2 linked regions of the Pelodiscus sinensis genome follow. The protein of the gene in region 1 purifies or fractionates together with the protein of each later gene. This does not show direct contact. Links are inferred from orthologs where the notes say so. Each region holds a gene or a part of one and is shown in the gene's direction. Other genes may lie near its edges. The genes, in order: AAK1 and REPS1.

Region 1 (8,462 bases):
TGTCTGTGTGTGAGTTCAAGAACTCCTCCTAAATGGTAAGAGCCAGGACCACCAAATTTGTGATGCAGCTTCCTCATCTCCTAACTTAATGCAAGGTCAGGGTTAGGTTGTGCCAGGAGAACTGGAGCCCCAGGAAAGGGACAGTTTTCCGTAACATGCAAATCATGGGGCTGCCCTTCCAAGGGCTGCAATATGAGACCGCAGGGGAGAGCTTCCTGCAGAGTGTCCATTGGGGACAGCTGCCCCACCAAGGGCAGGGGTCTCCAGCCTTTTTAACCACAAGATCACTTTTTCAATTTAAATGCAATGTAAGATCTACCCCCAACCCAAATACCCTTGCCTGGCTTCCTTCCCCCCCATCCCCCCATCTCTGGGGCCCTGCCCCTCCTCCACCCCTTCTCTGACGCCTCCCCCTGCTCGCTCTGTTGCCCTTCCTCCCCGCATCGTATTCACTTTCACCAGGCTGGGGTAGGGGTACAGGCTCTAGTCTTGGTTGTGTGGCAAATGCCTTAGGCCAGTGTTTCTCAACCTTGTTTTATAAAGTGCCCCTTTTTCAAAAAAAGAATAATAAGTACCCCCAGTACCTACAGTTTGCACACAATTTGTTTAACAATTTAATTGTAGTTGATGAAATATTTGGTAAAAAGTAGAAAAATAATAAAAAGCTGTAAAACTTAAAATAAAAGTTGAGTTTTCTCCAAGTTGCAGTTGTTGATGCACCCCCTGTCCTTTGGGTACCCCTAAGGGTACTTGTACTGCTGGCTGAGGGGTGCTGCCCTAGGCCACTCCAGGGTCCACCCCCCCCCCCCTTGCCTTTAAGGGGTCCCTTTCTCCTGCCAGACCCTGGCCCATCCCTGGGGCAGCTAGAGCTTGAGCCCACCACCCTGTGCTCTCCAGGGGAATGTTCTATCCCTTAAGCCACTCCAGGGCTGAGCCCACCCAGTTCTGGTGGGTCCTAGACCCTGGGGTGGCTGTCTGGTTGCCACAAGATGGGTGCAGCTTGGGTGAAATGGAGACTCCAAGCCACAGCCCTGTCCTCTGCAGGCAAGTGCTGTATCTCCTGGCCCACTTGGGAGCCCAGCCCACCTCCCTCTGTGTGTGTGTGTGTGTGGGGGGGGGGGGTTAGTTCTTGAGCTGCCAGCAGCAGAACTTGGGCTTGAACCCACCATCCTGTGCTCCCCAGGCAAATACCCCATTCTCCAAGCCACTCCAGAGCCCTGTTCCCCCTCCTCCTCTACCTTCAGCAGGTCCCTTATCCTGCCTTCCTAATCCAGAGCCAGCTCCACCCCTCAGGCAGCCTGTGTTGGCAGCCCAGCCGTTGCCTGAGTGGGTGGAGGGGGTGGCACGGAGCCCACCACCCTGTGCTCCAGAGGCTAATGCCCATCCCCAAGTTCACTGGAGATCCCACTCCACCTCCCTACCTTCAAGCCGTCCCCTCTGCCCACCCTGGGAGTGACCAGACACAGGACTAGGGACGCTCTGAAGGCAGGGCTGTAGAGTGGGCAGTGGAATGGTCTAGGGGATAGGGCAGTTTCCTGGGGAGCCTAGCAGGGTAGGTTCAAGTCTTGCTAGACAGCTGCCCAGGAATAACACAGTAGAACTAAGACAGCCCAGGCCCTGTCCCACCCCCACAAAGCACCTGGCATGTACAGCAATGGCTCCATGTGCTGCCCCTCATCCACAGGCACTGCCTCCACTGGCCACAGTTCTCCATCATTGACCAATGGGAGCTGCAGGAGTGGTGCCTACTGACAAGGACAGCATACTCTGACTTCCCTAGGGGGCTGCAGACATGCCAGCCACCTCCAGGAGCACAACCAACCCCAGGGATAATTACTCCAGACATGACCAGTTTGGCATTTTAGTACTCGAAGAATTAAATTTAAGTGTAAGAGAGAAATGAAAGTTACGAAATGCACAGTCCAGTCAAACACTAAACAGAACCCACTTTGCCAGCAGTAAAAGTAGCAACAACCCCCCATGTACGTGTGGGGTCAGGGGATGAGAGGGAAGGACAGTGTGTGTTTGTGAGTGACAGAGACACACACAGTGCGTGGGCGTGACAGAGATTTGCATTGCCAAGCTCCCTCCATCCCCCCCTCTCTGTGGATACAGGGTACAGGAGTGGGGGGAGGAGGGACACCCTGACATCAGCCCCCCCTTCTCTCTCCCACACCCTGCACAGCAAGTAGGAAGCTTCCAAGGGGCAGCCGAAGGCAGAGGGCAGGAGCAGCATGACAGTGGGGGAGGGGCAACTGAAGTGCCAGCACTTGAGAGTTTCCCGGCCAAACCCGTCAGGATCCCCTGTCAGAGGTTCCAAGATCTACTGATAGATCCCGATCGACTGGTTGGTGACCCCTGACCAAGGGTGACCCAGCAGACCAAGGCCAAAGCTTCTATTTACATTAAACAAACCCTAAAAACTCTCCCCCCTCACCAGCCTGGTGAACCAGACTGGCACACAGAGAAGAATAGGTTAGTAATGTGTTGATGTTATTTCTGTGACAAGAGAAATTTCAGGCTTCAGCCAAAATTGGGGCCCATTGTCCTATGCCAGAGTGAGCGATAATTTTTGATTGGGAGCCACTCTGAGATTTTGGTAAGTGGTCAAGGGCCGGCCTCTTCTATGGAGGGTCTGGGATGGAGGTTGGGTGCAGAAGGGAGCTCGGGCTAGGGAACAGGGATGCAGGTCTGAGAGGGAGTTTGGGTAAAGGAGGGGGTTGTGAGCTGGGGCAGGGGATTGGGGTGCAGCAGGGGGTGCATAGTCAGGGAGGGGGTATGGATGCAGGAGAGGATTCTGGCCTGTGGGAGTGGTGTAGGAAGATGTGCAGGGTCTGGGAGGGAGTTCTTGAGTAGTGACCTAGGGCAGGGAGTTCGGATATGGGATGAGGCAAAGTACCAGAGGCAGGCTCTGGCGAGGAGGCACTTACCCTTGACAGCTCCCAGCCAGCAGCCCAGCGGGAACTTCAGGCAGACTCCGTGCCTGCCACAGTCCCAGACCACTCAAAGTAGTTGGCTGCGGGTGCCTCATGACTCTCTGTACCAGCCAATAGGAGTTGCGATGATTGTGCTGCATGGGGTGTATGTGTGTGTAGGCGTGCGTGCAAAGTCACCCCACATGGCCCCCCACGGGCTGAATCCAAAGGCTTGGTGGGCTGATCTGCCCCGTCTTAGGTGCTGTAAGACACCTTCTGCCCCAAGGAGCTTTCAGTGTAAACAGAGGCAAGCACAGGGTGGGAGACAGGAAACACAGGCACTGAGCACGGACGTGACGTGCTCAGGATCACACTGCGAGTTAGCATTAGAAAGTGGGGAAAGAGCTGACATCCAGCACCCACCCTGCCCTGTGAAGCTAGACTAGCTACTGCAGTGGCAAATTTTGGGGGCTCGCTGGGGGGAGCTGTGGACCAGCCATCCAGGACTGGCCCTAGGCCAAATGGTACTCTTTGGCACCCCCTCGCCTTTGCCCTCCCAGCATTTGATGGTAGGCAGGCCTGCTGACAGGGAGGGGCAAAGGGGCCTAAGGCACCTGCCACCACCACTGTTACTGCGGCAGCAGCAGTGGCTGGACACCCAGGGCTCTTTAAATTGCTGTTCCAGATGCTGCTGAAGGGGTGGGGGTGTGGTCCCGGTGGCAATGAAGCTCAGATACCTTGGTCCTGCCCCCCCATCCCTGCTCTTACAGCCTGAGGCCCTGCCCCTTCTGGGAGCACAGGGTCACCCCCTCCCCTTTCCAGAAGCCTGGTGAGTGGCCTCTGGTACACAGGGGATCTAGTGGTCCCTTCTGGCCTTCAACTCTTTGATGCCATGAAAAAGAAATAATAGAATAACAAATAATGAGTCTTGCCAACTCCGAACATTCATAAGCCAAACTACAAAAAATCTTGAGATTGGCTTAAAAACCACGGGATTAAAAATGATAAACTTTGGATTCTTTTTGTTTGCCCTCTTGTCTTCTGAACTTCTGAGGCACAATCAGGCCATGCCGCCATCCGGCATGAAGGCTAGGAACTTAGCTTTGATTTAAAAAAAAGTGATAGTCTCTCCTAATTACATGCTTCCCAGGTGTGGGGGTTTTATGAAACCCCAGCATCTTCCGTGGCTCAGGAGAAAAATCGCAAGCCCTGCATCTCGCTGAAGATTTGTGACTGTTACAGTGACATTTGTTTTTTAAAAAGTGCAGCTATAGCAAACAGCTCACATGGCTAAGGCACAGCCCTGCTCTCCCAATTCCAACAGAGCCTGTTCGTTTTGCTTAAGCAGCTGGCTGACTGTTTAAGGAGGCTGAGTAGATAAACTCCTACAAAGCAGGATGGGGGATGCCAGGAAATCAGGTCCACTGGAGAACACTACAGGGGCCTGGACTAGATAACCTCTGGAGGTCGTTCCCAGGCCTATAGTTCTGCGATTCACGGGTTCTCTCTGCTTTTCCGGCCAGGATGCTGTCCCTCTTGGTGCTGCCATGGTGGGGTCCAGAGAAACTACAACTCCCAGGCGCCCCTGCTGTAAGTCTGGCAGGGGGGAAGAGGAGGGGAAATTGCTTTTATACTCATTAATTAATCAAACCCACACCAAAGAGGGGGCACTGAACAAGGGTGACAACTAAACTCTCCACCACGCTTTACTCTTAACCCCCCACGCAAGCGCCTCTCCTGGTGCATTATGGGAATTGTAGTCCCTCTCGCTGCACAGCTGGCCGGAGCTGCCACCCGGGAGAACTACCACTCCCAGAATGCCATGCGACAGAGGTCTGTTGCAGTTTAAAAAAAACACTCTTTGATGCCCAGTTTCCTGGGCTGCTGCTTTAATGCTGGATCTGAGCCCCCCACCGCCCCCCTGCCCCTCCCAGCCCTTTGCCTTGTTTCGTCACCTGAAACCTGTTTGCAGGCGGGAGACTCATGCTGGGGATTAAGGGGTTAAAAAAAAGCTGGTGGGGGGATGGGAAATCACCCAGGCACCATCTCCCCACTCCACCCACCCTCCCTGAAGCAGGGACTTCCTGTGACAGTTCATTTCCTGGTTGGATGGAGCTGGAGCAGAGGGGGGGCTGGAGCAGGCTCAGCCTGTAATGGTCTCTGGCTATCAGCTGCTGTTAGCCTCCCTGAGTGGCAATGGTACCTTATAACAGTGTTTCATCCAGGGCTCGTAGAGCGGCTGCAGCAATGGTAACATTGTGGCCAAGTTGCTAGCTGGGTAGGTCCAGCCTTTCTGCAGTAAAGGGCTGGGGCAGCCTTCCCCTTAGCTCCTAGGTGTGTGTGAATGGGGGGCAGGGATCCAGGGAGAGGTGCATCATTCTTTTATAACCAACTGCTTGCAGTGCTTGGTGGGAGGAGTGCAAGAATTTGTCTGTTAATATTTAGGGGAACGGTGGGAACATCTTTGGGGGTTTTAATTTTGTCCAGGGTCTGGCTGATTTTTTTAAGTATTTGTAATTGTTTGTCCTCCCCCCTCCCTTGTTTTGATACTGTCATTACAGGTCTAAATCTTACAAGCTCTGCCTGCCAGGAGGAGGGGGAAAATCATCTGCCCTACTTAAAACAAACAAGCAAAAATCACCGCTGGGAGTGGATTATTTTAATTGGCTGGAATCAAGAAGGGGAAAATATTGGACCTTGGAAAATAACATCGCCTTTGATTATAATACAGTTATATCTCTGGGGAGATGAAGAAGTTTTTTGACTCTCGTCGAGAGCTGGGGGGTTCTGGCCCTGGTTCTGGTACCAGTAGTGGAAGCGGCAGTTCTAGCGGACCAGGGAGTGGGTACATTGGCAGGGTGTTCCATATTGGGAGATACCAGGTGACGGTGGATGAAGTGCTGGCTGAAGGTAAGAATGCAGTGTCTTTATTCTCCCTTTTCCATTAACTACAAACAGAGGCTTGGGCCTTTCTTTAATCATATTTCTGCCCCCCCCCCCTTTCAAAATTTAATTGCCCTGGAGGGGTTTGTGAACTGGTGGCTTCTACAGCTGACTGGTTTCTCAGATACGTAAATCAATTGCAGGTAATGCTGGTGATTTTTATATATATAAATCCAAAGGGACAATATAAAAACAGCAGGTACTGGATTTTCCCAGCTTCAAACTTGGAATGCTTTAAAAACAACCATCATGGTACATTGTGGTGGGGGAAAGATGCACTTATGAACAACAAAAGCAGTGGTCTTCTAACTTTTTGGCCTGATTCCTTCTACCCACCTTCATCGGGGGACACCTTGAAGTAAATTTTCTCTGTCATATTTTATAGATCAACCAGGGCTAACTGCTGGTTGTGGTGTGGGATTGTTTGTTTGTTTGTTTGTTTGTATATGCGGGGCTACTGCAAAGAAAACTGGAATCCAGATTACATGTTCGGGTTGTAAAGTACTTTAAAAGGGGGAAGAAAAAACCCAACAGGAAGGGCTTGAAATCCTAAAGGTGTTTATACATTAGATGTGACATTCTTGCAATGTAAAAAACTGGTGAAGTGTGTGTAAATTAATATTTTATCTGGAGCACTGCTGCTGTAATTAGAATTTTACTTGTCATGTATGTGCTTAGGCACTAACAGAATCTTCTGAATGCTTCTTGCTGGTAACCTTACCCTCGACCTTCAGAATAATAATGTTGCCTTCCCTAGATCTACTCACAGTTCATCCTTTGCACAGCATCCTCTGAATCTTCAGTCAGACCAGTGTTTTGTCAGTTGTCTAGGGTTCTGCAAATGGATTGCCTGGAATAGGCCAGGGTTAAAAGAGAGAAGGAAGCTGGTGCATGAGAACTGAGTGGGGGGAGGAGGGGAAAGGGAGCAGTGTGTTAGGAATCTCCAACCATCTTTTCAAGTCTTTGTTGATTTCAGTTCCTACCTGGGTGGTGACTCTGGTGAGCGCTGGGGATGAGATGGGGGAGGAGGCCAAAACCTGTCATCTGGAAACACCCCACAAGCTCGTAGGTGGTTATACAGAACTTGTTCTTGTTGGGTGAGGCACTGACTTTACGGGTACAGTCTGGGTCTCTTGGCCTTTAAGGACTATAGCCTGCTGGCAGCGGGAGTCCAGGAAGGAGGCTCACTACCAGCTGGTCTTGCTGTCATTACACAGCTGGCCTAAAACTTGTTCTCTGGCCTGCAACACAGGCAAAATACATTTCTTTGCGGGTGAATAATCTCCGCTGGCAGGTCCTGCCCAGGATGCTGACAGCAGCATGAGAAAGCTTCCATGCTCCTGGGACCTCTCCTGATCAGCCCTCCTAGGATGCATTGTGCGCTTCAGTTCATCTGCGCCCATGCTTAGGAGGGGTGGGCTAGAGGCAGGGAGACTTGGCCCCTTGCTGTGCTATCAGTCACACAACCGCCTGCTGGAGACCTTTTGTGACTGAGTGTCTAGGTGCAGAGAGCAGGGACAAGGATTAAGGACTCCTGGAGTCTAAACCTGGCTTTCAATACGGTTGGCTGACTAGGGGTTGGACTGGGTCAAAGGACTTGACTCCTGGTCCCGACTCTGCCATCAGCCTGCTTGCACAAATGAATCCGGGCACGGCTAACCCTGTAAAACAGGTCTGATTCATGCCTTGCAGCAAGGCTACAGGGATGTGCGAGGAGCTGAGTCCCTTCTCCTGTTGGATGCTGGGGCCAGGGTTCTGTCCCTCAAATGAGCCCGTTGCTACGACTGGTCAAAAATTCCAAAGGAGACTCAGCACCTCGCCTCCTTGGTGCATGTCCCAAAGGCCTTGCCAAGTGACTGGTTAATAGCAGAGCATTGGGCTAGTGGCTTGGTGAAGGCCCATGGGACCCTTCTGCCCCTGGGAGGAAGGGGGAATGGAGGAAACCACCCTTCCATAAATAGAGGGTGCAGCCAAAGAAATGGGGGTCACTTGAGAAGGCAGCATAGGTCAAACTTTCTGCAGCGTCGCATTTTTCCTGCCTGTTGGCATTGCATTCAGTGTGGCACCGCAGTGCCCATTCAGGGCTGTTAACGTGTAGGGTTCTGGAGAACCGCCTAGCAACTTGGACCTTGAGTTGGTGCAATCTAGATCCATCTCGGATGGAAATGTTTGCACCCATAGGCCAAAGTGTGTCACTGACTTGACAGTTCTGAGAGACTGAGCCAAGAAGCCTCGTCCTCTTCCGCTAGAGCGAAACCACCTAGGAAGTGACACTTCCCAAGAGGAGGTGACCTTTGTTGGCTGGGAAAGACGATGGCCCTCCTCTGCCCCTTGTTTAATTAAGCATGGCAAGCTGGTAGAATGGCACTGGCATAGGCAGTCAGAAGCAAGACAGGTTATTGCGAAAGTGATTTAAGAATTGGAGTCTGAAATAATGAATGATGGGAAACGCATATGCGCCTTGTTAAACTAGTTCCTCAGTTTTGTCAGCACTGTTGGAATTCAAGTAGCAAGGGACTTCTCTCTGCTTAATGGGACTTACAGTCACCCCCTCTGGATTGTCCTGGGAAAACTCAGCTGAGGAAAACTTATCCTGGCTCATAA
Region 2 (8,528 bases), on another chromosome or scaffold:
TTACTTCATTCACCTTGTGACTCTCATCCTTGTACCAATGTGATTACAACAAAGCAGAAAAAAACACTAACTGTCAATATCTCATGTCACGGTATACACAATAAATATCCTAACACCAGACATAATTTGTTGACTTTTCAGTCAATCATCAATTTGTAACACACCCAGTTCAGAAGTTTGTATCACTTAATTTTTAACTCTAACAAGTTCTCAAGAAGCATTTTTCTTGCTTTTTTTGTAAATAATTTAATTATTACTGATAGAAATGTCAGGATTTGTGAAATCTAAGAGCTAATTTCTAAGTTATTTGCAAAAAAAATATCCTATTGATTTCAGGTGCCTAAGTATCCTCTGGAATCACAGTTAAAGCTGCCTCCTCCTCTTCCTTCTCCCCCCCCCCCAAAAAAAATCTATAATGGCACCCCTGATGAGTCCAGAGTGGCCTGAGGGCTTCAGAAGGGCCATGGGCTTAGGCAAAATGCAGCCCCCATCTGTTAGCATGGAACTCACCTTGAGCTGCAGGCCAGGCAAAAGGGACAAGTGCAGCTGCAGCAAGGGAGCTGCCAGGGCTTCTGCAGAGCAGCTCAAACTGTGGAGGAAGTACACACTGAAGGGCAAATGAGTGTGACACATTCCGATTTTTCACCCACTTTTTCATTTCACAATCTGATGCCATTCAAAAATAGCAGCCTTCCTTCTGTGCCTCATATTTTAATCTAAAATAATCCATTCCCATATAGCTCTTAAAAGAAGAGCTTGGCCAAGAAGCACTGATAATGACAATTCTCTTTGCAAGGGGCAAGAGAGACTAGCAGGCCCTGCATCCAAGGGAGCAAAGGACTGAGTAGCTTCCTTCCTGTGCCCCAAGGATGTGCCTTGTCCCTTAATCTGCTGAGAATCCAGTTCCACCCCGTATGTGGAAAATGCTGTGGCTCACAATCTCTCCAGTCGCAAGGATTGTCACAGTTTGCAGCAGCAAAGGCATGTAGGGCTGCTTTCTGAATCTTAATGAATAACACTTGTTATTTGTTCTTATTCATTAGTTTAGTGTTTAGTTTTAGTTTGACACTTTATTATTTTAATAAAACTGAATCAAATTTGTGTCAATTTTTTTAGTACATTTATGAAAACTACAGGTATTGAGATTACTGATTTATTTCTGAAACTTTCACTAATGCTACTACATACTTAAATCCACAGGCTACAAAAAACAATTTTGCTGAGGATGCCATTTTCCTTAAGGCTGGCCTTGGCTGAAGAAACATATATGCTTCATTCCTGGGAGCTGAAATTCATACAATAACTAGCACTGACTGTTCTTCCAGCAGGTTGGATATGAGGAAACAAAACAATTCCACTTCCATCAAAACCCTGTTATAAAACAGAAAGGAAAATAAAGTCTAAATTCTAGACCTTTTGTTTTTAGGGCATCCTGGCTCCTTTTTACAATGTCTCATTTGGAAAAGCATGGCCTTGCCACTCTGAATAAATTTGATTACATGACAAATGTATCTAATTAGGTTAATGTATTTGGATATCTATCTGTAGAAATCTGTAGCACTAACAGTACAAAGGCTGCACATCACAACAAACCTACAGTTGATTGAAAACTATACAATACTGTAATATTGTAGACCTCTTATCTGGTCATGTGTCAAGGTAGCTGTTGCCTCAGTATCCCATTCAAATAAAGATGGCTCTCAGCCTAAAATGAGCTCCACCATTTCCAGGGTAATTCTGTCCACAAAAATTCAACAAAATAAACAAACTTCTTGTGGATCTTCTTTCTAGTTGTATTCCAAGAAAACCAACCTATCCTGATAGTGGTCCAAGGACCAAACTTAAGCAACAAAAGTTTCTGAGCTACAAAGAGTATCTGGCCTGTTCTTTGGCTACTCTGGTTTTAGACTTTTTGCCAGTCTTACCACAAACTACAGGGAGCTCTGTCTTTTCTCTGCCAGAATCTCCAGCCCTTGGGTTTGAAAAGGAAACAGATGGTCACCCAGTCTTTCAGCAAGCTCTGCTTTCTTGCCCATCCACACAAAGTTCCTCCAATGTAACTGAAATACCCTTACCCAGGGCTTCCCCTTTCTCATCTCTCAGTTCTCTGTAGGATACCTTTAGCTACAGTCACTTCCAAGGCCCCCTCTATGTAGACCCACCAGCAGATCTTTCTTTCTGTGTTGTGAGAGGAAAATAGAGGTTTATATAATATGTTCCCTTTCTTATCATGCCTCCACTCAAGATCATCTCCTCTGAAGAATTGGGTTTTGCCTATGAAAGCTCATGATTCTCTCTCTCTCTAAGTCTCTAAGGACATGTCTACAGAGCAGAGCTAAAGCCAGAATAAGCTATGCAATTTGAGCTACATCAATTGTGTAACTTAAGTTGAAATAGCTTATTTCGGCTTTTGGCACTGTCTACGCAGCGGGGAGTCCGAGGTAGAGAACTCTTCCTCCAACTTCCCTTATGTCTCATAAAAGGAGGGTAACAGGAGTTGGCGTAAGAAGTCCTTCAGCTTGACGTTATTTCGACATTATGTTGAAATAACTACTTGTGTCGACGTGGACTATGTTATTTTGGAAAAATGTCAGTTATTCCAAAATAATGCTGTGTAGATGCACCATCTGGTGCCATGGGACTACTTCTTATATCTGCCTAAGTTTGTCAGTATTCTCATTAACTTCAGTGATCATAGTGATGTACTTAAAATTGATCATATTGATGTACATGTGCTTCAGAGTTGTAAGATTAGGGCTTTAATTACTTAGGGTTTTGGATGCTAGAATATTTTAAAATACAGTGGCCATTTATAAACAGCCATTGAGTATCTTGATGTTTGTATGTCAGGAATGCAAGATCTTCCCCAATAAGTCTATGCATACAGCTCTATTGATTTTCCCTTTGATAAACAGTTACATATGAGGAAAAATTAAGTGGTAAGTGGATATAATTTAGTAAAGTGATCATGAAGACAGGAGGATGAAAAAGATGGGATTTACAAAGATCTGAAGGATGTAAATAGTAAAGATGGAAAGAAATTATGTAGGATAATACATAAAGGATATATGAAGAATTTTACACATGTAAGGACTGCAAATATCTGAAAAGTGACTGGATTTTAAACACTTTTATTTTACACAAATGCTTCTGACAAGAGTCCAGGATTTTTTGAAAATTAAGAAAAGGGCTCCTTTGATCCAGAAAACTTGATAGCATGATCACAATGCTTTTGCATCTGGGAGTGAAAAATTTCCGCCACTTACTGTTTCTTCTTTTTGGAAGGATCAGTAGTAGCAAAAGTCCAGCTCTTCATTCAGAGTTACTGGAATTTTTCCAAATCTTTCCTGCTCATCTCTAGTCTTAGCTCACTTGGTCTGTAAGGACAATGAAAGTTTCTATAGCCCTGAGGAGTTATAGCAGACAGGTGCATTTGACAAAATCTGTTCCATGCTTTATGTATGCAAAAGGAATTTAGCAAGTTAATTATAAATAACCTTTTTAGTATATGTCAATTATATTTTCAGAAGTAAGCCTCAGCATGTACAATCAGCTTTTTAAAACCCACATTCATTTACCTCTTCAGAGCTATGGGAAGGTACTTGAGAGCATGCAAGATTTTAACTGACAACTCCTTTAAACGAATAAAACATTATAACATACTTGCTATATTTGGCATCAGTGGACAAATGCATTTCTAGTTTCCCATTAAGTTGTCCAATACTGTACTCCTTTTCTAAGAAAATTGTGTTTTATAGATGAATATTTTGTCTGTAGGCTGCTAAGGAGGTGGGACAGGAAAAGAATGCTGCACCTCCTTCCTTCTGTCAATGGTCCCTAGATTTGTTCATCCCATGATGATTTTCTGACTTTGATCTTTTTTTTGTTAAAGTTTTGTGGTTAGCTTTGATTAACAGGCAAGCGCTCTTCAGGCTGAATTCACCCAACATAAGGTTTAATCAGAGGTGAAATCCGGTGCACTTTGATGTGCAGCTCCGGCAAGAGCTGGATTGCTACACCAAAAGCCAGCAGGGAGCTATTTAAAGAGCTGGCAGGCACCCTGGTTGCAATGGGACCATGGGGTTTAATCAGTAACAGGAAGCTGGAACAAGGTGTGCAGGGCGGGGGCTGAGAGCCATTCAACCTGCCAGCCCCAGAGAAGGGAGACCACTAGATGGCCGGGCACCCCCTGTTCCAGCACCCACGGTGATCCCTCGTCCCCGCGCCTAGGGCTGCAGCGGTGAGATCTAGCCCCGCCCGCCCTGACTCCTGGGGCACGTCTCTGACACCAATACGGGAGGCGGCTCCGTCCAGGGATCGCTCCATACAAGCCGGGGCGGCCGGGCGGGCACCTGTAACTCAGGTGCCTAAAGCCGCACCACCCAGCGCGGGAGGCACCACGGCGGGGAGCAGCCGCAAGGGCGGGGGAGCCGGCACCAGGCTGCCGCCCGCCCGCCACGCCAGCAGGGGGCGCTGCCGGGCGCCCCTCCCCGCCGACTCCGGCCCAGCGAAGGCCTCACATCCGGGCCGGGAGGGAGGGGCCTGTTTTGCTCCGCAGCCTCCCCGCCCCCTCTCTGGGGCTTCGTAAACGGCGGCGGCTTCGCTGGGCAAAGAGAAGGGGGCGGGGCCGAAACTTTTATAGCCCCGCCCACCCCCCGCGCTTCCGGTGCGGCGCCCTCACAGCGCGAGCGCAGCGGCCGGGCCTCGCGAGGGACCGCGGCGCGGGCGGGGCCCGAGAGGGAAGCGGCGCGCGCGGGATTCGCCCCTGGCCCGCCCCCCCCCAGCTCGTCTCGCGGCCGGGCGCGATGGAAGGCCTGACGCTGAGCGAGGCGGAGCAGCGCTATTACTGCGACCTCTTCGCCTACTGCGACACCGAGAGCACCAAGAAGGTGGCGCCCAACGGGCGGGTGCTGGAGCTGTTCCGCGCCGCGCAGCTGCCCAGCGAGGTGGTCCTGCAGGTACCGGCCGCTTCTCGCCTTCCCCCCGCCCCCTCGTGGGCCCCGCCCGCTTCCCGGCGCTGAGCCGCCCCTCAGCCCCCCTGGGTGCAGCGGGAGTCGCGCCCCCCTACGGCCTTGTCATCCCTCCCGGGGGAGCCTGGCCCGGCCCGGTGGCTGCCACAGGTGCTGGGGCGAAGGGGGGGTTATGGCTTGCAGCGGTCTCCGTTCTGCGCAGGGGTTACAGCTGGCTTTAGTGGCTGTCAGCGCCCACGTTTCCCGCACCCCGGCCATTGCTGCTGAACCAGAGGCGGGGGAGGGGGCGTCTCTCAAAGTCTATCCCTGTTCTGCCTCTGCAGTGGGGGCTCTGTGCTGAGGGCAGGCACTGGGGTTAACTACAGGTTAGGGGTTGGTGTATGTGACCTGCCTGAGGGACAGTCAGGTGTTCCTCTCCCGAGAAACGCTGTGCTGAGGTATGACAACTTCAGTGCTGTGACTCTTGCTGTGCTTGGGCTGTTGCCCCAGCTGTACTGGGAATGGGGTAATTTTTGTGTTTATCCGAGTTGGAGCAAAGTGGAGGCTCAGAGCATGTTGTCCTTCAGATCTTACTAATATTGAAGTCTTAACTTGCTGGGTTGCAGAGGCTACCTGAATGAGTTCCTGTGGTCCTATTAATCTTAGGCTGAGAAGTATGTCACTTGCAAAAACTATGGGAAAGTCCATCCGAAGCATAGGAATTTGAGCACTGCTGGGAAGTACTGATAGCAGGATACGGGAAATCTGTACTTTTATTCCTGTTTGTGTTTCTGGCTCAGTGACCTTGTTCAGATAAATAACTCTCTACTTTTTTTCTAATTTGAAAAAGTAGAGTACCTGCAGATCTTATAAAGTGCCTTGACATCAGTGAAAAATGCAGTTTTAAAATTGGATAATACAGGCAGGTTGTGCTAAAGCAGTAGACTCCCACTAGTAATGTGTGGAAGCAAAGTTCCAGCACTACTACTGTAACCAGTGGGAACTGGGACTTATGTGAAAGCTACATTACTGAGTTACAAATTGTGCTACCAGTGTAGCTAAGGGATAATTTAGCATCGTTTGTCTAATATAGTTCCTAGAAAAGTATCCACAGGGGAACTATAGAGGCAATAGCTTGTGTGTGCATCCACCATAATATGTTCATGGCTGTGATATGTTTGTGAAGTGTAGTTCCCTGAAAGAGGCTATAAGCAGAATAAAGTGTTATTTCTAGAAAGCCATACCATCTCATAGGTACACTGTTGCCTCAGTGAAGAGTCAGAGTTGCTTACTGTTATCCAAGACCAACAAACATGTATCCATCAGCTTCTTTCAACTCAGAAGAGGGTTTAATTTCAGGAGTGTGTACACACTTTATCAGGGAGCATTGGTGTTGCTTTTTAGTCACTTAAAAGCAAGAGATTTGATTAGGTGAGAGGAGTTTAAAATGAACCAGATCTCTTTATTCTATTTAGCTGAATCAGTTGATAAGTTGTGGGTAGTATAAAAATATGGCAAGCACTAAAATTAACTTAAATAATCATGTTTCCTAGTAATTTATTTGTCCTTATTGTGTTCATGATCTACACTGTTTAAATCTCTAAATGAAAACTTGTTTTTCAATATTTTATTAATGAGATCTCAAGGGCCACCCAAATATTAGTATTTGTGTTCTGAATTACACAATACCCACAGTCTTTACGCTCATCATATGAACACAGCTGGATGTGTATTGTTTAGTGTCTCTTCTACATAAATCTTGAAATGTTGTGTGTATATAAACTAGTACAGTGTTGGCATGCTTTACTTGATGCAGTAGCTTAGTGGAATAGTGTAATCTTGTGCTTTGTATATCACTAGTCCCAGGTTCTAGGAATGTAACCAGTTAACTGGTAAGCATCACCATTACTGGCTGATGCTTACCAGTGAGCGCAGCATGGCATGGTACAGGCAGTCCCCGGGTTACGTACAAGATAGGGACTGTAGGCTTGTTCTTAAGTTGAATTTGTATGTAAGTTGGAACTGGTACATATTTTGGGGGGGGACGGGGAGCTGGAGTTAGGTGGAAAAGACCCTGATTCTCATACAACTTCCTTATTCTAAGAAAAACACATACTGTTTTGATATGAAGGTTTTTTTGGTTGATATTTTAATTAAAAATTGATCATAAGTTTCAGTGTTTCATGCTATATCCAAATCTTCCTTTTGGGGTACCTGAAAGATCCCAGTTATTCATTTAATAGTCAGAATCTTTGTTTTTTATATCTAAAAAAAGTTTATTCAATGCATATTACTGTTTCAAATAGAATTTGCTACAGATGGTTCAGTGAAATGGGTATTAAGTGTAATCAATAGTCATTGGAGAGCACAGTGAAATATTGATACAATCAAAGCTGTTGTATTCTGCTGAGCAGAAAATGGAAATCCCTTCCTGTGAAGTAAGTGTGTGTGTGTGTGTGTGTGTGTGTGTGTGTGTGTGAATTTATCCACAGGATTAATTTTAAAGAAAAATTCTGTGTTGGGAACAGGAGTTTAGCCACAGGTGGGTCCTCATTGTCCACTCACCCACTTTGCAACCAGACCCATCCCCTCGGGGCTTACCCTGCTCCGCTCCAGCCAGGGTGTGGGGTTGGGGCTTATCCCCTCTTCCCTTCTGTCCTGCACCTCCCCATTCTTGCCCACCCACACCACTAGGTAATTTTTCAGCTTCACCTCTGCCAGGCTGGAAGGGACTTGTTAATTTCACGTGACGCTAATAAGATACTTGCAGCTCTAGTGCTGAAGAGGGAAAGAGCTGTTGCTCCCAAGGTGGGGACTGTAACACAATGGGTCTCACTGCCTGCTGCTCCTGCTGTTCCCTAGGAAATTAATTTTTCCGCTCTGGGGTGCCCCCTTTTGGCTGGTGTCTTGTTCCCCCCCAGCAGACCTGCATCCTCTGCGGTGAGAAAAGCCGCTCCGTGTCTCCCTGGTCTGCTGGGGGAGGGGGAGGGGCGCTAGCTCTGCGTCTACCTGGTCTGCTGAGGAGAAGTGCCCCCTGTGCCGCCGGAGGTGGCGACAGTGGGGGAGGCACCACGCACTAGCTGCGCCCCTCCCCCCCGTTTGTAACTAGGGATCCGACATAAGTCGGATTGATGTAATCTGGGGACTGCCTGTATTGTGGCCTGGCTGGAGACCCCTTTCCAGGTCACCTGCCCACATGACCTTGGTTAAGTGTTCAATCACAACATTTAATTGGTTAAACAGGATTTTTACATCCCTAACGGATTCCAGTCCTACTTAGCCTGTCTCAAGGGAGGTAAATATTCTCTTGCAGATTGATATTCTCTTGCAGAGTAATGAATGTTTGGTGGGGAAAATGTAAATTACATGATTGTAAATGAACTGGATAAACCTGGGTTTCATTGTTGACAGCTCAATGAAGATATCTTGTCAATGGGCAGCTGCAGTTAAAAACCAAAAGATGTTTGGGTGTGTAAGGAAAGAGATGATGAATAATACAAAGGATATAAAATGCACTTATAAATCACTAATGTGGCTTCATCTAGAATGCTGTGTGTGGTGCTGGTATCCTCTCTCTCA

What was found.
Region 2: the proteins of AAK1 (region 1) and REPS1 purify together in Homo sapiens (affinity purification with mass spectrometry; 3 studies listed by BioGRID and IntAct, counting the BioPlex papers as one, with this or other methods). This does not show direct contact. The link is inferred for Pelodiscus sinensis from reciprocal best matches to the Homo sapiens genes AAK1 and REPS1.

Annotation. Positions count from the first base shown.
Region 1 is NC_134738.1:1,521,039-1,529,500, reverse strand, and holds the start of AAK1 (AP2-associated protein kinase 1), read left to right. Parts: upstream 1-4,900; 5' UTR 4,901-5,249; intron 5,250-5,476; 5' UTR 5,477-5,662; coding exon 5,663-5,825; intron 5,826-8,462.
Region 2 is NC_134713.1:99,102,994-99,111,521, reverse strand, and holds the start of REPS1 (ralBP1-associated Eps domain-containing protein 1), read left to right. Parts: upstream 1-4,658; 5' UTR 4,659-4,805; coding exon 4,806-4,958; intron 4,959-8,528. UniProt on the Homo sapiens protein: May coordinate the cellular actions of activated EGF receptors and Ral-GTPases.